Linked DNA regions of Arabidopsis thaliana. The protein of the gene in region 1 interacts with the protein of each later gene in a pairwise test. Each region holds a gene or a part of one and is shown on either strand. Other genes may lie near its edges.

Region 1 (7,543 bases):
CATACGCCTAACTTTTATGCTGAATGTAGATAGCTAGAAACCTAATTGTTTAAAGATGGAGAAAAAAAAACTATAGTGTCCTCCATAAAAAACAGGTCATCTCCGAAGAGTTATTTTCAAAATCGACATTAATGATCAGTTACATATTTTTTAATCATTATTTGAAACAATTATTTTATAATTTTAGCTAAGTATGTGATTAAAACAAATGAAAAAAAAAAACTCTAAAATGGAGGGATGAACATATTTGGGGAAGTGATAGACAATGATATTTCATATTTAACCATTCGTTATTGAATTTAGGAGTTGATAATTGAATGCCTATGAAAAATATGTTCCTATTGTTAGAGGTGGGTTGGAGTCTTGAAGACAGAAGACGCTCTAATATACAACTGAAGTTTGAGTTGCTTGTAAATTCAAGTTTTGTATAATTTATTTTCATTAACTGCAAACTAAAATTTATATAATATTGCGTGAAACAGAAGCAAAAGCAAGCAACTCGTTGGGTAAAATCTGCAGTTTCTGCACCAAATTAAAGAAGACCTGCAACATTGCCGCCTTTACATAAATACACACACTAGATACATAGGCTCTATGTATCTTATAGTATACGATATTTGTTTAGAATATTCTGCAAGTTGATTAAATTTCATGGATCAGTAGACTTGTTTATATTCTAAAGTTTCAAGAAATAGTCAATTTGTCTACGTATAATTAAACCGTTTCTTAGCTGGAAGTTTACGATAACGTATCCAACATTTAAGTATTGTCGAGCCATATAATTAGAGAAAATGACTAGTGAGAACACTGAGAGGTTTAGCAGCTGAGCAAGCAAGTTACTTACAAAACTTGGAAACAAAGGTTGTCACACTAATATTCACACTACGTGAGAATTCGTACAGTGCACATCAATATAATATTTTTAAAACAGCAAAGTGAAAAATGAACATGATACTATATATATCCAATTTATTAACAAAATTTTATAACTTATAGTATCAAAAATAGTAAGACTCATATTAGACCAATATATATTAATGCCTACCTACCTTTGACCTTAGGAGAAAGTATGAATAATTAACATGTATCCAGGAATGGCATTGTAGAAAATACTATTTTACATTACTATTTCATCTAAGGATTGAGATTTCATATGAATTCAATGATTTATATTTACTGCCAATATTTTTTTATCTTACTAATTTAAACGAAAGAGATATTTTAACTTGAAATAATTAGAAAATAGGTTATAGATCATTCAAACATAAAATTATTAAACTGTTCAACTATTTCTAAATGATTTATGTTAGCCGTCAGATAATTAACATGGAAAATTCTAGTTTCATCATGATAATACTCCAACTATATGTGTTAATATGCGTATAAGAGAGAGTATGGCGTAGTATCCAATCATTTCTTAGTATCATGTAGTATTTGGTATATGCCGTATAGTAGTACCCAATTATTTCTTTGATGGGCAAATGCTAATGACTAATGAGTATTTTGCAAACTCATGATCACTGAAAACATGAGCCTTCGGTCGACGATCAGGTGTCTTAAATTTGTCTGCTCTTTAATTTTTGTAGGATAAAAAATTGAAAAATTTGAACTTTAGACCATAGAATAGATTATTCCAGCTAGTAATCTAGAATAAGAATGATGTGAAAAACTTGTATTTAGTGGTTGATCATATAACCAAACCAAAGGATGATTACGTTTTCCTTAAACTCTAAAAACATGCAGATTATTGATCTGTCCATCCTAGTTTTAGGTACGGTATTAAATTTAGATAGCTGTTGAAAAAAAACAAAAGTGAAGATATCTAAATCTAGATATGTTGGAGCAAATCCAGTAGTGGATTCTAAGCAAAGTTTCTAACCTATAATAATAATAATAAAATAATAAATAATATTATTTAATTAAGATAGTTTATAAGGAAATGTGAGAGAGTTTCTAATTCAAGAGATTTTGAAGACTCTTCTAACTATTTTTAGAAACTTTTCAAATTAAATAATATTATTTCTTATTTTATTATTATTTTAGTAGATTAGAAACTATGGTTAGAAACCACCATTGAGTATGCTCTTAATTTATATCCTATAACAAGTCAATAAATCGTCAAACATTAATACGTTGCATTATTTGTTTGTCATCATATCTTAAATATTTCGAATTAAATGATACGTTTTCGTCACACAACTAATGCTTTTTAGTAGATGAAATATAGTAAAATACGATTTTATGTATTTTGAACCCATGTGGCGTTATGTTTTAATTTATTATTGGATAGTAGAAGAAGCCGGAAATTCTGGATGTCAAATAGTCACATTAATATTCAATGCGAAAACGTAAAAAAAAGTAAGATGCTACCGTTACCTAAACAAAAGTTAATGGTGTGATTTTACAGCACCTGTTTAATATTTTTAAAATTACATAAAAAAACCAAAGAGAAGTAAGAAAAAATGAAAAAGAGAGATTGGTATATAAAAAGGAGGAGTAGGGGGTGAAGCCCGAAGCATCTTATAGTATTTTTAGCTTCATTCCTTCTTTTGCTCTGATCAAAGTCTTCTCCTTCCCTTCTCTCTCTCTTTCCTCCTCTGCACATTTCTGGGTTCTTCTCTTCTTATGCTCTGTTTCTTTTAAGACACAGAAGAAACAGTACAGAGTTGAGATTTTCTTAAACAAAAGTGAAAAGAGAAGAAACAAGTGACAGCTCAAACGGACAAAAACCACTCTTGGGTCTTTCTTGCTTCTGATTCTTTCTCTTCTCTAATAGAAGAAAACGTAAGTCACTCTCTCTACTCTCTTTTTTCACACTGAAGAAGAGAAAAAACGTGAACAAAGAACTGTCAATTCTCTTTCCCTCTCTGTTTTATCTTCTTGAATTCTCCAAGATTGAGATCTCTCTCAGTCTCTTATGTGCTCTGTTTTCTCCTCTCTGTTTTCACTTAGTTACTAAACACAATCGATTCTTTCGCTCTGTTTTATTTCTCAGATCTAGAAGCTAAAAAAATGTCGGAAGGAGTAGAAGCGATAGTAGCAAATGACAACGGAACAGATCAGGTAAACGGAAACCGTACCGGGAAAGATAACGAAGAACACGACGGCTCCACCGGTTCTAACCTAAGCAATTTCCTATGGCACGGTGGCTCTGTCTGGGACGCTTGGTTCAGCTGCGCATCTAACCAAGTAAACCAATAAAACCATAAACTAAAGATTCAAAATTTCGGATTTCTCATAGTGAAGAAAGATCTGATTTGTAGTAATTATCGTTGGTTTCAGGTGGCTCAAGTGTTATTGACATTACCGTACTCGTTTAGTCAACTAGGAATGTTATCAGGAATAGTACTTCAGATCTTCTATGGTTTACTAGGAAGCTGGACTGCTTATCTCATCTCTGTTCTCTACGTCGAATACAGAGCTCGTAAAGAAAAAGAAGGCAAAAGCTTCAAAAACCACGTCATTCAGGTCCCCTCTTTAAACCCTCTCTCTCTAATCAGAATCACTAAATCATAATTATCTTTCACTAATCTAACACTTTTAAAAATCTCAACAGTGGTTTGAAGTACTTGATGGATTACTTGGTTCATACTGGAAAGCACTAGGACTCGCATTTAATTGCACTTTCCTCTTGTTTGGATCTGTTATCCAACTCATTGCTTGTGCCAGGTCTGTTATCTTTTAATCATTCTCTTTATCTTTTTAATCACTCTTTAATGATTAAGAATGGAGGATAATTGAAATATGATTGGTGTTTACTTGCAGTAACATTTATTACATAAACGATCATCTGGACAAGAGAACATGGACTTACATATTTGGCGCGTGTTGTGCAACCACTGTCTTTATACCGTCGTTTCACAATTACCGAATTTGGTCATTCCTTGGCCTTGGAATGACCACTTACACCGCTTGGTACTTAGCCATTGCCTCCATCATCCACGGCCAGGTAATGTTTTAATATATTTCACCAAAAATATATTTCATCACATTATAAAGATCACTACACTGTCGTTTTCATATTTATATGCTTTGCATTGAGGTGACAGTATATGCCTTAATTAAAAAGAAGAATAAAAAAAATTCGTATTTTCTCTTTAAGATCAGGGATTATTCTTTGCATCTTAACCCAAATTTGTATTAAAAAGTGTATGTATAATATAACTTAGACAAAATTAGCTGTTTAATATTCTCCTAATCAAATTTTTTTTTTGTTGTTTATTTTAGGCGGAAGGTGTGAAACATTCAGGTCCAACAAAGCTAGTGCTTTATTTTACGGGAGCCACAAATATTTTGTACACCTTTGGAGGTCACGCGGTTACTGTGTAAGTTACTCTTCTTTTGATTTCTTAATGATTATTAATTTTGTATCTAATAAAAGATCAATAAATTTTGTCAGACATAGTTGAATTACTATTTAAGTTAAAGCTAAATGGCAGAAAAAGTATATGGTAAATTAAAATGGTGCCATATTATTAAATTATGGGTGCTGCTGTATCGTTTCTTCGCCGCTTCTATTGCAGCTTTTGCCGGCAAATAAGGTGTAACTATTATTACAGTCATCATGATTGTCATTATTATTTTTAGCAATCCTTAAAATAGTAGTACTAATAAAATAAGCTCTTTTTAAATATAAAATAGAATAACCATTATTATTCCTATCCCTATAAAGAATAACAAACACTATTGCTACCAAAGCACTACTACTACTAGTAGGAATAGTACGCTTTTGCGAAATGTCAAATACACCCTTTTTATGCGTCAATGATTGTTGTGAATCCAATCTTTTACATAGTTAAAGTTTTGGATGAAATTATGAATATTAACAGTAATTTCTAATTTGCAGTGAGATTATGCATGCTATGTGGAAACCACAGAAGTTTAAGTACATTTACTTGATGGCGACGTTATACGTGTTCACGCTAACGATTCCGTCAGCTGCCGCCGTTTACTGGGCTTTCGGAGACGCACTTCTCGACCACTCCAACGCTTTCTCTCTTATGCCCAAGAACGCGTGGCGTGACGCCGCTGTTATCCTCATGCTCATTCATCAGGTATACACATACAACATTTTTGTTCTTTCTTTTTTAAGTAAATTTTGATCATGAGAGATTAATGCAACGTGTTCTTGTTCGTGCAGTTTATAACGTTCGGGTTCGCTTGTACACCTTTGTACTTTGTGTGGGAGAAAGTGATTGGGATGCATGACACAAAGAGCATTTGCTTAAGGGCTTTGGCTAGATTGCCTGTGGTCATACCTATTTGGTTCTTAGCTATTATCTTCCCCTTTTTCGGTCCAATCAATTCCGCTGTCGGTGCTCTTCTTGTTAGCTTCACCGTCTATATCATCCCATCTCTCGCTCACATGCTCACTTACCGATCTGCCTCCGCTCGTCAGGTATAACATCTTTACTAGCTCACTCTCTTTTAGCGTTTCAAAACTCGAACTTAACCTAAAATACATTGAGTTACCAATAATTTTTTAGAAATGAAATGAAGAGTCGGTGGAGGAATATTATAGTTGGGGGGTAGGGTTGTGAAATTGGAGGGCAAAAACGTCTTTTGTGGAAGATAGATGGGGTTCAGTGTTCCGTATCTTACGGAAGATAGGATCATCACCCACATTCCTTACTGGCGTCCCCTCCAAATAATATATTATTGAGTTGGTTTCAGCCATTTCTTTATTTGGTTACATTTAGAAGAAAAAATACAATATCCGGTTAGGTTAGTATTAGTAATTGACCATGACTTCTTTTTCTTTCTCTCTTTCAAAACAGTGTATATTAAATTTACGTAAGATAAAAGTAGAGGAAAATAGGGGAGAGGAATAGGTAAGAGTCATAATCAGAAATGAAAAGGAGCTGTACAATAGGGACTCTATGCCTAACATTAATCTAAAGTGAGAGTCTGAGTATGACAAATCACAATCATATCTCTCTCTCTCTCTCTCTATCTCATGGGTCAACAAAGCTTTGGATTTTGTCCATTACTATACGACCAAAACTCTAAAACACTTACACACTCTCTATTTCTTTAATGGTTCTCTGATTATTTTTGTGTTTTGGATCTTTCTTGTAGAATGCGGCGGAGAAGCCACCGTTCTTTATGCCGAGCTGGACGGCGATGTACGTGTTGAATGCTTTCGTGGTGGTTTGGGTTCTTATAGTCGGATTTGGGTTCGGTGGATGGGCTAGTGTAACCAACTTTGTTCGTCAAGTCGACACTTTTGGTCTCTTTGCCAAGTGTTACCAATGTAAACCAGCTGCAGCCGCCGCACATGCCCCGGTCTCCGCTTTACACCACCGTCTTTGAGAGATCGAGTCAGGGTTCTTCTAATGCGTTTGTGGAGGGTTCTTAAAATTATTTGTTCTTCTTTTGTGTTTTGTGTTCGTATACGTGAAGGGAGTAAAAGTCACGAAAATAGTGTACTTTTTACACACCCCTTTAAATGCGTGCTAAGCTCTTAATTATTTTTTTCTCTTTTGGGGTTTTGTATTTTTGTTTTCACTCCTTAGTTTTTTTTTTAAAATTGAATAGTCGATAATATGTAGTGTGTGATTTCTTAATTTGGTATTGTTAAAACAATAGGCTAAGAAAATGTATCGTCTTCTCTCCTTTTACTTGTCTTTAGTAACAAAAAACAATTCTTATCTTATACATTTATCCTAATTAGACTTATATAAACTATTTTACCATGAACAATATCTTCCGATACTAGATAATTCTTTAGGATCCTATTAGATCTTTTAATTATACAGTTTTGATCATAGCACAGCGACAATACTACTAAGTTTACATTAAAATTTTGAAATAACACTTTAATTTATTTGGAAAATTTGATTTAACGGCAGGGTGTGTTTAAAAATTAAATAGGGGAACATGGACAAGTTGGACCGACGGAGCCGGTCATATATCCTATGGGCCACATGGGTGTGGGGAGAGGACGCACGTGGATACTTCGTCCGAGTCACGTGCCATTATTTACTTGACACTCTTCATCTTCTCTCTGATCAAAAGAATGGATCAGAGGACCGTTCCTGTCCCTCATATTAAATATGGCATGTGTTCGTTCCATTCGTACTCAATCGTTTACCCCTTATCATATGCTCTGCTTTCACATGTACTTTGCCCCCAAAGATTATAACTATATATGTAAAATTATTAACTAATATTCTCGTTTGAATCCAGAGTCCGATTCTTGTACTTTCCATCTGACTTTTTTTTTGTTGGGGGTCAAAATAAAAAAGAACTTTGCAAAAATGTTTCTTCTAATAGCATAAAATCGTTAAAGAGAAAAGAAGAAGTGAATGTGAGTCATATTATGCGATATGGAGTAGGACCCTTGGTAACGTTTGGTTAGTGACCCTTGGTAACGAGTGGGTTCAAATTGTCAATAAACTATTATGTGGCGAGTGGTGAATCGTCTTTAATTTGTTCTGATTTAGGCCATGTGAGTTTTGCAACTACATTTGAGGCTTTTCTTCTTCTTTATATTAGACTTTTTTTTTTTTGTAAAGTGGACTATCTGGATACAAAAAAAATC
Region 2 (5,150 bases), on another chromosome or scaffold:
CACCCAAGACTCGCATCAAGCAGTTGTACAGAGGAGTGTGGCAATGGAATTTGACGGTAAGGATGATAAGTAGAAGAATGAATCATACGAGAGAAGAGAGCACCGGAAAATCGTACTTCCTCTTCTCCTCTCCCGCCGATTACGCGGCTTTGACTGGAAATGAATTCATCGGCATCGAATGAAGAAGAGCAAATGAGGAATCTTCTTAATGAAGTCTGAGTGGAGCTTCTTCTCCTAGAGAGATAGAGCCATGGAGCAGCAGCCATGGAAGCTCGACGGCGATTAGCAATGGCGAAGTCGGTGAAAAGCCACTGATTTACGGCGGAGAGCTCTTCACGTATTTGGGCCTTTGTTTGATTAGAAGCTTTGAGTGATAATAATTTTGACCCATTAAAGGCCCATTGATCTGGTCACATATAACCATTGGGTCCACCAGGAGCATTAAAGCTCAAACGCATAAAGAATTTTTATTTTTTAGTTGGAAGGTATCTGTATGCATCTTATCTTCGTTTTAGGGTCGTGATATTTTCTCAAGTTTTTCTTAGGGGACCAATTTATTTTTAGATTTATTTGATTCTATCTTACATTTCTCTTAGTTCACGTTGTCTTTGTATACGTGTTTATGGATATTACATAACTGAAAATCAAGATCAGTCAATCAGTGTAACATCAATCATCAATAACCCTGCGGGATGTATATAAAACTAAGGGATATATGAGGAAAATCAGATTCCAGATTAAGTTCATAAATATTGATTCACCTAAAATCTATAATAACATAGTAGTTCAGAAGCATGAAATAATTCTATAAAAAATCATGAATTATCTACATAAAAATATCGCATATTGTAGATAAGAGTCACCCCTGAAAGAAAAACGATAGTTTTCTGTATTTGGTTATCAATCAATCCTATGTGGGTTTATATCTTATCTAATGTAAAAATTACACAAAGGATAGTGTCTGCAAATATCTAAATGAAAACACTTAATTCCAAAATGAGAAATCAAGTGGGTTTTGCCTAGCTAATTGTATAAATAGTAACACAATCATAATCTCTTCTTCCATCAGGTCTTCTTCATAATATATTTCTTCTCTAATAATTGAAAGCAAAAGAAAACAGTTTTTTTTTTTAGAAAGGTAAAGAAATGGAGGAAACAAAGGAGAGAAAGATAGTAGTAGCAGTAGACGAAAGCGAAGAGAGCATGGAAGCTCTGTCATGGAGTCTTGACAATCTTTTTCCATATGGTTCCAATAATACACTCATCCTCCTCTACGTCAAGCCCCCTCTTCCCGTTTACTCTTCCCTCGATGCCGCAGGTTAGTCCTCGTTCTTTCACGATTCATATCTTTCCCTAATTATAATCTGTTCACTTTAGTTATAGATTTTTGTTTGGTCGATTTCCAGGGTTTATAGTGACAGGAGACCCGGTTGCAGCTTTGAAGAAGTATGAATACGAGCTCGTGGAATCGGTCATGGCTCGGTCTCGAACCGTGTACCAAGATTATGAGTCTGATGTAAGCTTATTTCTATCGATTTTTTATCACTTAATTTGCTGGATTATACTTGCTTAAAAAACTTGAGAAATTATGAGAAAGTGAATTTAATCAAGTAGTTATGAGTTAATCTGTTTATCATGAGCAATATTTAGTACAAAAAATATAACATATGATAAGCAAAATATGGTTGTTTTCAAAGAGAGTTGGCGAAATAAATGTAAATATAACCAAATTAATGTGCAGATTAATATAGAGAGACGAGTTGGAAGAGGAGATGCTAAGGAAGTTATATGCAACGCAGTTCAGAAACTTAGAGTTGATATGTTAGTAATGGGCACTCATGACTATGGCTTCTTCAAAAGGTAAGGTTTCAATCTCTTATAAGAAACAAAAATATTTTGGTTTAATGGTTATTTGATAATCATTTGATATATTTGATAGGGCTTTGCTAGGGAGTGTGAGCGAGTATTGCGCCAAACGAGTCAAGTGTCCTGTGGTTATCGTCAAGAAGCAAGCTCAAGATAATTAAGCTCATATGATTGCATTGTGTATATGTTTCGAAAGAACTGGTGTAACACTTGAATCAATCTTCGTATGCGATAATAAAATACATAACGGTTTAAACAAATTTAGCAGATATTTTTGCTTATATAAAACTAGCTGACAATGACATCAATCAACCAATTAAATTCAAATCTACATTCTCTACATACAATGCCAAATTAAAAACTAATGTAAACGCAAATTTCAATTTAACGTATAGAAGAATGTAATGAACCATATACCAAGTTTTGAATATTTGCAATTTTGTTGTTTGAACACTTAATTGTTGTTCGCTTCAAAGTTCAATAAAGGCCTCAAGGCCCAAAGTATATCTGTTACTCATCCAGTCGACACAGTCATACTTAAACGTCGCCGTTTCCGTGTTCGAAGCTTCGTGAAAATCTTCAATCTCGCGAGAGAGAAGAAGAAGAAGAAGAAGAAGAAGAAGCGATGTTCCTGGTGGATTGGTTCTATGGAGTTCTGGCAACTCTGGGACTATGGCAGAAAGAAGCGAAGATTCTGTTTCTAGGTCTCGACAACGCCGGCAAAACCACCTTGCTTCACATGTTAAAGGACGAGGTTCGTTTTCTTCGAGCCATATCAGTAATCGCTGTCTAGAATCTTGTTTCTTTTACTTAGCGCGAACGAATCAAAGTCTTAATCAGCGATAATCGTTTGATTTGGGTTTCAGAGACTGGTCCAGCATCAGCCGACACAGCATCCGACATCGGAAGAGCTTAGTATCGGCAAAATCAAGTTCAAAGCCTTCGATTTGGGAGGTCATCAGATTGCTCGTAGAGTCTGGAAGGACTATTACGCTAAGGTTTGATCTTCTTTCTTCTTTGGATTTTATTGTTAGGTCAATCAATTTAGCAAGTCTTTGGAAGGACTATTGCGCTCGTATAGTTGTATGTAGACTCTAAGCTGACTCTGTTATAGATTACAATCTTCCCTGTGCCCATATAAACAATAGTTAGATGATAGAGGTGAAGTGAAATCTTCAATGAAGTTTGTCATATAGCAATTCTCTTTTGAATGTTGCAGCATGAGGTCCTGTGATTACATTCTGCTGGTTATGTGTACCTAGTAAGCTCTTGCTGTGTACTACTCCTACTCTGTTCCTTAGCCACTGTGTTGCTCCGTTGGGTTATATAAGTTTGCAGATGATAGTTTGAAATGATTGAGCTATAGTAAAATCTTCAGATGATAGATATACATATACATCATATACTGTAGTTTAAAATGACATTGTGATTGGTATGTGGAGCCAGTGGAGGTTGAAAATTAGAAGATTGTATAGCTATAGACTACTCTTACTGTCAGTTTTAGAGTCATGAGGTCCCTTGTGATTTACATTCTCATAGCTGATGATTCCAGTGAATCAAGAGATTAATAGACTCCGGTGTTTCTATTAGCTACCCTCTTTGCATTCTATCTTCAAGTTTGTAACTTTATTATTGTCTCGTATTAGGTTGATGCAGTGGTATACCTAGTTGATGCATATGACAAAGAGAGGTTTGCAGAATCAAAGAAAGAGCTTGACGCTCTTCTCTCTGATGAATCCCTAGCAAATGTCCCTTTCCTCATCCTTGGAAACAAAATCGACATTCCGTACGCTGCATCAGAAGACGAGCTGCGTTATCATCTAGGCCTCACCAGTTTCACCACTGGGAAAGGTAAAGTGAATCTAGCAGGAACAAATGTTCGTCCTCTTGAGGTGTTCATGTGCAGCATTGTCAGAAAGATGGGTTACGGCGAAGGATTTAAATGGGTTTCTCAATATATCGACTAGATCAATCATATTTAAGTCTTATCTATCTATACTGTGTGATTGGTATCTGTACGTGTTATAACCTAATGTATAATTACGATTAATGTGTGTATACAACAAGATTTGACGGCTTTTAAATTATCAATTTTGTGTTTACAGACCAAAGTTGAATCCTATGAAAAGTGTGAACCCATTTGTCTGTGACTGTGTAACTGTGTGGGGCTTAAGAAATGGCTGTATCTTAGCTTTTTTATGAAAATTCGAAAGATGAACACTTTTACTTTAATAATGTAATGTAGAGAAAACCCCATGTGAATCGAGTTTGACAATTAACAATCACAATGTCCTACACTGAAAACCAATCAATTTGACACATAGATGTACCATAATGAGTGTACGTATATTGTTTTACATGTGTTATGTCTCTTTGTGAACTTATCATTATGTCTGTTTTTCTTCTTTCTAGGTATTGTGAAATGAACACAAACAGATCTATGGATAACCATGTATTTATTTTCATTAAAATATGTGAACAATAATACTCCAAAATAGTTCACAAAATAAGTAAAAAAATTTGCTTTTTAGCACCATCACAATGCGTCTTTGATCTCAGCCGCTTCCAAACGTTCAAGTCGCAGCGTAATAAGGCTAATAGATTAGATTTTGCGACTCAAGATTTTGCAGCTCAAGCATATATATGTCTACGGACTATGCAAATATGGATGTGTAAGAAAACTATTAGGTGCTCACTTTCTCTTTTTATAACTTTTTCAGAACATTTCTCCTTTGGACTGATTCTTCTCTACGTGGCCCAAAGTTAATATCAAAAGTTTTTTTTTAACGTATTATTTCTATCATTTGTTATTAATTTTTTCTCCTTTGGATTGATTCCTTGTTACAGTTTTTGCTCTTCTTTTTACTATGCTGTTTCTTTTTTATATTCGCCACTAGCTAGAGACTGGTTCTATGTCCCAGGACCCATGAAATACCAAGCACGAAAATGTGACCAAATGAATAATTTGATTTAAGTTTTTTGCTTGAATGAGAAAAGTTTTTTTTATATATAAAAAAATGTCAAAATATTAAAACTCATTCGATTGATTGCGTGGAGAAGAGAAAAATAAATTTAGAAGAAGTATTAACTTGGTTTTTGGGGTAAAGGGATGCACATGGATCCCTCATTCCCACGTGATATCTAAGCCAAGAACACGTGCCTCCCTCTGAGCTATCTGACTTTTATGTGATTGGTTTCAGTTTTTAGTTCAAAACCCAAAGCTTTTGGATCCAAAAGAGGTCTCTATCGTATGCATTTGAGCAAAACTAGATGATTGGTTTGAT
Region 3 (5,456 bases), on another chromosome or scaffold:
CAATCCTCCAAATACAGCAAAAGTGCCTCCCAAGCGAGGAGCATTCATGCTAGCCGCTTGTGTTCCTCCAACATATCGAGCACCTATTGGGGAATTGTATGCCCCTCTCACGAAATGATATACAGAACCTCCAACAGCTCCCGCTCCAAATGCATAACCGATAGCATTGACTATACGGTATAGGCCATGTTCCTTAGATTTCTTCTTAGTGTCCATGTTCCTGACAATGCTAGTTTCTACAGAGGAAGGTCAGAGATCTCACAACAAAACTGAATGAACCAATCATCTTAAGAACAAACCGCATAAAAAGCTGCAAATTTTGAAAAGGGCTAATTATCGAAGCTAAGAAATCCTCCGCTTATGAATTGAGCTCAGCACAAGAATCCGAATACCAGAGATATACATCACAGAAACTAATCTAGGAATGATAGAAATTCTGATTCCATTAAGAGCAAACAAAACGGAGCTTGGTTAAACACTAACCAGAAAAGAAGCAGCAGATTCTAGTGACCGATAATGAAGTCGCTTCTAATCAGAGAGGGCGTGCGAGCCCCCGAAATTAGGGTTTCTAGGTGAAAACGATCGACAATTGTAAATCCTCACTCGTACCTTCGCTCTCGCTCCTCCTAATTTGGACCAGTGTCGCTATAAATTTCTGCAGAACTAACTAGAATGCTATGCCTAGTGAGTGTTACAATTTGTTTTGTCAGAAAAAAAACACCCTGGTCTTTGTTTTTTTTAATAAATGGCTGGAAAGCCACTTTCTCTGGAAAATAAAGCTAGAATGCCACCTTCGTATTTTCATTTTCTTTTACAATTTTGTTTTAAATCAAAAACTAAGGAAAGGTCCAAAAACCCAATTTCAATATTGAAAACTACCAACCCAACCTAAAGTATCCGATTATCCATTCCAAATTTTATGGTCCAACCCTGAACCTCAAATCTTAGTCCATTGGGTTTTAGCTTGCAAAATATATGTTTTGTGGTTTTGTGTGTCCCACTAGTGGCCACGACTTACTACAAGCTCAAGTATTCGCGATTTAGCTGAAGAAAATTGAGCGTGCGGATCAGCCAAATCCGACTTTTCATGGTTCAGGCGAACCGGCAGGGTTTTCGACCCACATTTTGTTCAATATATGAACCAAACTTATGATTATTACGACTCCAATTTTACCAGATACATCCACACACCAAACAAGTCTCATCTTTCTTTACACAGATGGTTTTAGACTTTTAGTTTTCAACTTTAAACAAACAAACAACACGTTTTGCTTATTAGCAACACTAATCTGTTGCTGTTTCTGTATTCATAGCCTTTGTATTTTTTTTTTCCGTGTATCTCAATGTTCCGCCGCACCCGAATGGTAAGCTCTACGCCTCAACTGAGATTCCCCTGATGGCTGTTGCAGATATATCCTCGTTGGATCATTAGGGTCCACGTACCTGCACATACACAATGACGACCACACAAGATTTTATGAGGAACAACAGCTTTTACTACTATCAAAAAACTTTCCGATTGATTTCTGATGGGACTTACGCATGTCTCATCATTTCGTCCACAGGTGTCTGAGCGGCTTGAAGAGGATCAACATGAGGAGCTGCCGCTGCTGCTTCTGCTGCTTGTTGCATTTGTCTGTTGTATTGTCTCACTGATGATATGAGATTCAAGAAGAGAGGAACAAATGTCCCACAACCACCTTCCTTAAATAGGATCTTGAAACTGTGTGTTGAATATAGAGCTCTATGCTCATTTTCTGGCACCACCTGGAAATTTTGTTACATGCCAATAAGTAAATATGTATAGTTTCCTTACAAGGAAAGAAACTATAAATTCTCCATGAAAGTTTGTACTTACAGGCTCCACTTGTCCAGCAATATTGTTGCAGTGAAATATTGGCTGATTAAATTTCTCGGCATGGATGTAAAGCTACAGAGTAACATATAATCCATAAGCTAATATGTAGCATGTAGTTCCATAACCAAATTTAACAGAGCTACACTTGTGCCATGTATTAACTAAATCAGAGACAAAAATAAGATAAAGTTACTGTACCAGGGGCATGTCAAAAGCAACAAAGTTGTCAACAGGCTTGCTTGAAACAAAGACCATCCGTATATTAGACAAGTAAATCACCCCCTTGGCCTTAACATGACCTCCATGCCCTCTGGATCATACAACAAGAAAGAACATCAGGGAAGTGTTTAAAGCCCAGAGCTCATATGTCTGTTCACTTCTGAGACTTATCTTATTTACAAGTAAACTTAATGGTTCATATGCTAGATGAGTGGATCTAAACCGACTCAAAACGGTACTAAAATGGAGACCAACAATAATCATCAAATCAATAAACCACTTAAGGAGATCCAAAACATGCGTGACGAGAGAAGGGAACACGAACCCAGGGATCTTGTCGACTTCAAACTCAACACCATCTCGGACTAGGACGAACATTTCATTAACAAAGGGAACAGGCATCCCATTGGGTAGTAATTGAGGGTTTAGCGCCATGAACTGCAATTCAGATTGATCAAGCCAATGATTATATAATTCCTTGTTCTGTTCTTCTTCTCTGCGTAACCTGATCACACAAATGAGAATATAAACACATTTCCAAATATACTTAGACAATCAGAAGATAATTCAAAGGAACATGCTCCAAATTAGCAAATAATTATTCACAGATCCAAGTAACTAGAGCCAATTAACATCCACATATCATCAGCTTCCAATTTCAGATATGCAAAAGAGCAAATAAAATTGAGGTTTTTAGCTAATTCAAATCGAAACGTTCCTATAATGTAGAAACAAAGACTAGGATTAATAATACGTGTTCAAAACAAATCAATCAACAAAGAAAATATCTAATTCCTTAGAGAATCAAAATCTGATAGCAATAAGAAAGCAGTAACAGAACGATCCAAGTTCAATTTCAAGCAATCCTTTACTCGTAATTTTCTCGCGAATAGAAAAGCTGAAGGAACATACCTGGGTCTACAGAGCTTAAAAGGATTTTGATCGGAGAGATTGAAGAAGAAGAGGATAGGGGTAATAAAAGGGCCAAGATCACAGTTTCTCGTTTTTTCCAGAAAAGAGACGCGACGCGGTTTATTCTTAAAACCTTCTAACCATTTTATTCGTCCCTCTACTTATTTCTTTAGTTCGATTTTCGCCCGCAATTTGATTTCGTTACAATTGTCCCCATCTACAGTTACTATTTGGGCCTTATTACATCTCAGATTAAAGGGACCGTTCAGCCCATTTTCAGTTGTTTTAACTTTGGTTTCGGTTTAGGTGTTTATTTATTTTTTTGACATCTTGTTTCGGTTTAGTTTTGGTTTGGATTGTTTGAGCTTTCGATTTTAACCAAAACGTGAAGACGAGTTTTAGAGATTCTTGTTATTGTTTTAGCTATTTATAACAAGTAGTTACCTAAAATGCCAAAATCATTAGCTTAAGATTAGGAGTTTTGTTGTTTTTAGAACATTTTGCTCAGTACAATTTAGAAACCACTTTCAAAAGAGTATTCAGCTATGCTTCTATAGTCCTATTATCTATATGAAACTTTTGATAAACTCTTCAAAATAATGATACAAGTTCTTTAATTCTGCAACAATTATACCATTTTAATAAAACAACCAATAAGATACAACAAGTGGCAGAAAAAAGCATATTATTCCCTTCCAAGACAAGTTGATCGATTTTGTGATGTGGGATGGAAAGTGTAACTTTGAGACAATAATGATTTGTAGATTATATTAGTAACAATTTATTATTTATCAGCAAAGACAGAGAGAGAGTTCACAAACAGCATCATAATGTAGAAGAGAAAACAAACAACAAACAAACAAACAAAAAACTTAAATACAAGCCTTAAGAAACTATCAAGGGTTGTGAATAGTATAATCTGCAGGTTTCTTCAACAAAACTTTTTTAACGGTAGTTTCTGTACACAGGGCTGTACATGCTGCTCTCTGCAAACTTGACAAGATCCTTTGCACGTGGCAGGTTCGACGCCAATCCTACACCACAATACATCGATTTTAGAACTTGAGATTAGAGAGTTCAGACAGTCTCATTAAAAGAGTTAAGACAGTTTCATTCAACTAACCGAGGTCATAGGTTTTGGCGGCGACACAGGCTGCAATGTTAGCAGAGATCTCTCTGATGTTTGAGAATGGCGGGTAGATCAGACCATTGGCGTAATGCTCTTCTGTCACTTGTGCGGCCAATGCTTCAGCTGTTGAAAACATGAGAGAGAGATGACATTGAGAATCTTTAAGTGTCTTTATCAGTATCCATGTTTGATTTTCTGAAGTTTATTTTTACTTACAAGCTGCGAGGAGCATGTCATCACGGACACGAATTGCCCCAGACATGATCAAACCAAGACCCAGACCAGGGAAAATGTAGCAATTGTTTGCCTGAAGTTAAGTAGGATAGTGGAAATATGATGTGAGCTCTAAGATTGTCAGATGTACAAAGTTGAGAGAGAAGAAGTTGTTGAAATAGCACGAACCTGGCCAGGCAAGTAGGTTTTGCCATCGTACACAACAGGATCAAATGGGCTTCCACTTCCAAAGATTGCACGACCCTTTTTTTAAGCACAATATATGATTAGATTCGAGGAGCAGCATGAAAACCAAATTATAATTTTGTTGTATAATCAGGAGTGAGGACATGAATCACATTTAGATGTCATATGAGACAATATTATACCTTGGTCCATGTGTAAGCCTGTTCAGCAGTACACTCAGCTTGAGAAGTAGGGTTTGAGAGAGCAAGAATCAACGGTTTCTATAAGCCAACACCAAGACCAGCATTAGAAAAATAGCATAAATACCTTGTTTTCTGAAAAAGCAGAGAGTAAGAACAAGAAGAAACCTCGTTGTTGGTAGCCATGGCCTCGACAACTTCTTTTGTGAAAGTCTGACCCACACCGGATGTTCCAATGAGAACGGTTGGCTTGATTGCCTGTTTGAAAAAGTTTCAACAAACAGTGAACAAAAAGATTCTCTATTCACTATCAAGCAATTTAAAGATCAGTTCATCACGTACATTAACAGCACCAATGAGGTCCTTCACAGGTTTGTGCTCATGTGCCCATGGCTGCTTGAAGTGCTGAAGAGATTCTTTGCGTGAGCTAACAATCAGTCCCTGCAAAATAATGTTCAAAAGAGAAACATATATGAACAAGAACGGTATAGCTAAAAAAGATGAGACTGATCTTGGTGGTTGGCGCCTAACAATACCTTGGAGTCCACAAGCCAAATCTTCTTCCGGGTCTCAGTGATGGGAGCTCCAGTCTACAAAAAAAAAAACAGATATGATCAATCACATACTCTTAGCCAAAAAACAGATCAAATGCAAGAAAACTCCCAGATTGACTAACCTCTTTCGAAATCTTAAGAGCAATTAGCTCAGCGATACCGGTTCCAGCCTTCAAAGAATCAGC
Region 4 (4,317 bases), on another chromosome or scaffold:
GAGAAGGCAAATTTTAATTGTGTCTAAGTTACTATATATATATATATAATTATGTACATATAATTAATTTTGTATTAAATTAAATATTTGCTACCCTTTATGGAGCTTATATACCAAATTTTGTATTAAATAAAAAATAAATAAATAGTCTTTAACCTTTATAAGGTACTGAAAACCTTTAATTCGTATAAATTAATATATATGTTTTGTTTCACAATAACTAAAAAAATAAGTAAAAGTAGAAACAACAGATATGTAAGCTCTATAAGTAGTAGGAAAAATGTAATTAAGGATCCAAAATAATAATATTTATATTTTATTTGCAACCGAAAATTTTATAGACAACTCGCATTGAAAATGTTCTCAACTTGTTTTTATAGGAGGCAATACTTCTTGCGGTAGGGTTCAATTATATTGGTGCTCAATCAGGGAATTGTCCGATGCCATTTTCCAGTGGAATTTGATAGAAAATTTAAAATTAAGCATCAAAAAGTTGTCTGATGGCATTCATCGGAGTTGTCTTGAATCACCATTTTTCCGTTTCATCTCCTAACGTCTGTTTTTCACTTAAAAAGTCTCCAATTCCAGTATAACTTCGTAAAACTTGTACAAAACAACCGAAAAATACATTAAAAACGAACAAAAATGTGACAAACAACTCAAAACAAACACTAGACAAAGGACATAAGACACTAAAAACACAATATACCACATACAATTTTGGAGACACCCGCACACCGCTCTTCACCTCTTGGACTGTCAGTAACATTATGACATGACTATAGACATTACATTCACTTTCATGAAATTTACAACTACTCTTTGGATTTGGGTTGCAGAAAGATGCATACAGTAAAACAGCTCCATCAACCTCTTATGCTCATGTTTCATGCACATAAGTACTCAATTAGCCATAGGTGGAAGCTTAGACCCTGTTTCGACTTTCGAGTAGCTCGGATATATATGCATTATATCACATATCCCTTAGCACCATATTTTCTAATTTAATTTACAATATCACTCATTGCCACAAGTGTATAAAAACCATAGCAATAGAAGGGTATCAAAGTTCAAGTAACCAATTAAATTAGAACACTAGAAATACATTCTATCATCCAATCTAAGCAATCAAGTTAAATCATTAGAACAATATTGAACTACCGCCGAAGTAAGATCTCGTCTACCGGAGATATTGTCAGATTCTTGCCTCCGTTTTGTATTTGTTGTTTTGATTTGTAAAACTTTGGCTCAAGTCCAATTCAGGTATTATAATATTTTTAAAAAAAGAATATTGAACTATTAATAAAATCTTAACATTTTCTGTTGGTCCCTAGTACTTTTGATGGGCTCTCTATATCTTCGCTTTTGTATGTTTGAAGCATTAAGGCCGAATTCATTTAAAACTCAACTTCTATACCAAAAATTTTATTTTAAATTTTATGTAATTAAAATAAACTAACCAATTTTTTAAAAATTACTATTTTAATCACATATAAAATTAAGTTTTAATTTATCTTTCTATACAAAAATATCATCATTAATGAAATTAACTAATTTATTATATTTTTTTAATCATTTTTTCACTTATAAATTTTATCTAAAACTGAATCGATTAATTTCTTATATCTCTAAAGATATCCGTATGGTAACAAAATTGACTCCAAACATTTCTTAAGTCGATTTCTAAAACCGCTCCAAAAGACCATTGTGCATTAAAAATACTAAAAATCTAAAATTTAAAATATTCTCAATAACAAACATTTACGAACCACTGAATTTTATTTTATTTTAAAAATAATCTATAACATAATAATTGTTTTATCTGTTTTCTAACACAAATTATTCTAAATACATGATTGAAATACATTTCTAAATTGGCGTTTTATAGACTATAGTATTTTGACAACTTTGTTTTCAATATTGGCGTTTCATTATTTTGGTGAAAGATTCCCAACTTATAAAAAAAAAAAACGAATTTTTAATTTTCGTCCTAATCATTTATTTCCTAACCAAAGAAAAAGGCAAATCGCGACCCGTCTCTCTCTCTCTCTCTCTCCTTGAAATCGAAAGATCAAAAAAGCGACACTGAAAATGGAAAATCGGTCAGAAATGGGTAACCGGAGGCAGCAGAATCTCTTCGTCATAGCTTCTCCCGACGAGATTGCTAAGATCCATCGAGCCGAAACTTCCAAACAAGGTCTCTTCTTCTTTCTCCGTCTCTCTCTCTCTTTTTTCCCCTAAAAAAAATCTTTTAAATTGATGACTTTGGATTATGTTACAGCCGGAGCTATTGCCGGAGCTAAGGCCGCCGCCGTTGCCGCCGTCGCCAGTGCGATTCCCACAGTAATCATATAATCTCACTTATCTAAATTTTTTAAATTGAGATCTTAAATGAATTAAATGTAAGAGTTATGTTTCTTTGTTGTTGAATTTTAAGACAAAAGTGACTCACCAATCTCATGTTCTGTAATAATCAAGAGTTTCAATTTTGTTACCTATTCATTTTGTGATTTCTGAATACACCAAGTAGAGTCACATTCTTTTTGATGTGTATATAAGATATGAATTTGGTACATAAGCATGCCTTGTTTTCGTAACAGGTAGCTGCCGTTCGTATGTTCCCGTGGGCTAAGGCAAACCTCAACTACACTGCTCAAGCACTCATTATTTCTTCAGGTTAGCTCTATCAGCAATATGCCTTAAATCATTACTATATGTTCTTCCTGGAACTAAGTAGAAAAAAGATACTAGCTTTAACATTGTTGTAGAAACCTCGAACTTCCCTTTTGAACCTAGTTGAGTTTGGGGTTTTTAAGTATTCGTACATTCATTTCTCCACAATTTTCTTCTGATTTCTATCTTGTGATTATGGTGATCATTGGAACAGCTTCTATCGCTGCGTTCTTCATAACCGCGGATAAAACGATTCTACAAGGCGCAAGAAGAAACACCGAGGCTCAGTTAAAGAAAGTTCAGCAAGACTCTAAATAATTTCTCTTCTTATTGTAACACAAATCAATCATCATCTTTCTCTGTTTTGTATGCATATTTTGCCTTGATTCTTAATAAGAGTGTTATTATTATAAGGAATAACAAATTCTTTAAGACCATTTTTTATTCAGACTTTCAGATTTTGTTCTCAAATAAGTTACAAGCTGGTAGTTATACTCTTAACTAAAACTTTGCTTACACAAAAACTAAATGGTTTCTAATACATTTGTACATTTCACAAAAAAAACAACATCAAGTGTTGTGATTATTTGATTATACAAAACCTAAATCTTCATCTTCTACCCTTTTACTTGTCCTTCGACCCGATAAACTAACTAGTAGAGGTGCCTCATATGCCTCTGTTGCAGTCTTCTTCGTCGCCTCAAGTCCTTGTTGGCGCAGAACATACAAGACCTCTTTCATGGAAGGTCTATGACTAGGCAATGTGTTAGTACACATGAGACCTAGCTTGAAAACTGTTGTCATCGCCTCAGTCGTGGAAGCTTCTTTGATGTCCTCATCAAACGCCTCTGCGGTCGGTTTTCCAGATTGGTAATGTTTCCATGACCAATCTGCTAAGTTTGTGTGTTCATCTCCGTTGTTTCCTTCTCTTCCAGTCACCAGCTCTAGCAAAACTACCCCGAAGCTGTACACATCGATCTTCTCATCTACCTTTGACGTATATGCGTATTCTGCAACATAAAAATATTAGAGATCACACAATGAGCGACTCTATTCGACTCTAAAGAATGTTTTTTGTTTACGGGTATTACCTGGAGCAATGTAACCAAAGGATCCAGCAACAGCTGACATGGTATGAGGTTCTTGGTTTTGCTTAATCAACAGTTTAGCCAACCCGAAATCTGCAATCTTCGCGTTGAATTCAGAATCAAGCAAGATGTTACTCGACTTGACATCTCTATGTATGATTGCGGGAGTACAATCATGATGCATATAGCAAAGTCCTTGAGCTGCTCCAACTGCGATATTCAACCTCTGTGACCATGTAAGGTTATTAGCCTCTACGGTACCTCCCTTCTTCTTTCCATGTAACCATTGATCAAGACTGCGTTTCTCGAGATACTCATACACTAGAAGCTTTGAATCTTCCCTTGAGATACAACACAATAGTTTCACTATATTCGAGTGCCTGATCGTTCCAAGAATCTCAACTTCAGCAATAAACTCCTTCTCAAGTTTCTGGTCCAGTTTCTTGCTGTCCCATATCCTCTTCACTGCCACACATTGTCCCGAGCTTTCGACGAAAATCTTGTAAACTTTGCCCGATCCGCCACTACCGATCACGTAGTGTTCCATCAGATTCGA

The links.
Region 2: the proteins of AUX1 (region 1) and AT3G62560 interact in a protein complementation assay, tested with the Arabidopsis thaliana proteins (one large-scale study listed by BioGRID).
Region 3: the proteins of AUX1 (region 1) and AT5G11680 interact in a protein complementation assay, tested with the Arabidopsis thaliana proteins (one large-scale study listed by BioGRID).
Region 4: the proteins of AUX1 (region 1) and AT5G25940 interact in a protein complementation assay, tested with the Arabidopsis thaliana proteins (one large-scale study listed by BioGRID).

Annotation. Positions count from the first base shown.
Region 1 is NC_003071.7:15,970,481-15,978,023, forward strand, and holds AUX1 (Transmembrane amino acid transporter family protein), read left to right. Parts: upstream 1-2,395; 5' UTR 2,396-2,784; intron 2,785-2,995; 5' UTR 2,996-3,012; coding exon 3,013-3,189; intron 3,190-3,282; coding exon 3,283-3,468; intron 3,469-3,556; coding exon 3,557-3,669; intron 3,670-3,765; coding exon 3,766-3,949; intron 3,950-4,227; coding exon 4,228-4,325; intron 4,326-4,846; coding exon 4,847-5,054; intron 5,055-5,140; coding exon 5,141-5,398; intron 5,399-5,486; coding exon of another isoform or gene 5,487-5,492; exon of another isoform or gene 5,493-6,078; coding exon 6,079-6,312; 3' UTR 6,313-6,700; downstream 6,701-7,543. UniProt on the Arabidopsis thaliana protein: Carrier protein involved in proton-driven auxin influx.
Region 2 is NC_003074.8:23,135,048-23,140,197, forward strand, and holds AT3G62560 (Ras-related small GTP-binding family protein), read left to right. Parts: upstream 1-2,238; 5' UTR 2,239-2,491; coding exon 2,492-2,620; intron 2,621-2,732; coding exon 2,733-2,864; intron 2,865-3,512; coding exon 3,513-3,833; 3' UTR 3,834-4,098; downstream 4,099-5,150. Other genes in the region: AT3G62540 (Pentatricopeptide repeat (PPR) superfamily protein), read right to left, coding at 1-266; AT3G62550 (Adenine nucleotide alpha hydrolases-like superfamily protein), read left to right, coding at 1,147-1,318, 1,407-1,516, 1,742-1,860, 1,940-2,027.
Region 3 is NC_003076.8:3,756,519-3,761,974, reverse strand, and holds AT5G11680 (classical AGP protein), read right to left. Parts: upstream 3,167-5,456; 5' UTR 2,990-3,166; intron 2,583-2,989; 5' UTR 2,513-2,582; coding exon 2,403-2,512; intron 2,169-2,402; coding exon 2,057-2,168; intron 1,931-2,056; coding exon 1,859-1,930; intron 1,768-1,858; coding exon 1,541-1,767; intron 1,444-1,540; coding exon 1,341-1,443; 3' UTR 1,062-1,340; downstream 1-1,061. Other genes in the region: TIM17-3 (translocase inner membrane subunit 17-3), read right to left, coding at 1-216; NADP-ME2 (NADP-malic enzyme 2), read right to left, coding at 3,935-4,023, 4,113-4,241, 4,335-4,425, 4,521-4,595, 4,721-4,798, 4,886-4,975, 5,060-5,158, 5,254-5,307 and 1 more.
Region 4 is NC_003076.8:9,052,926-9,057,242, reverse strand, and holds AT5G25940 (early nodulin-like protein), read left to right. Parts: upstream 1-1,987; 5' UTR 1,988-2,091; coding exon 2,092-2,197; intron 2,198-2,281; coding exon 2,282-2,343; intron 2,344-2,600; coding exon 2,601-2,676; exon of another isoform or gene 2,677-2,887; coding exon 2,888-2,991; 3' UTR 2,992-3,121; downstream 3,122-4,317. Other genes in the region: AT5G25930 (kinase family with leucine-rich repeat domain-containing protein), read right to left, coding at 3,265-3,683, 3,765-4,317.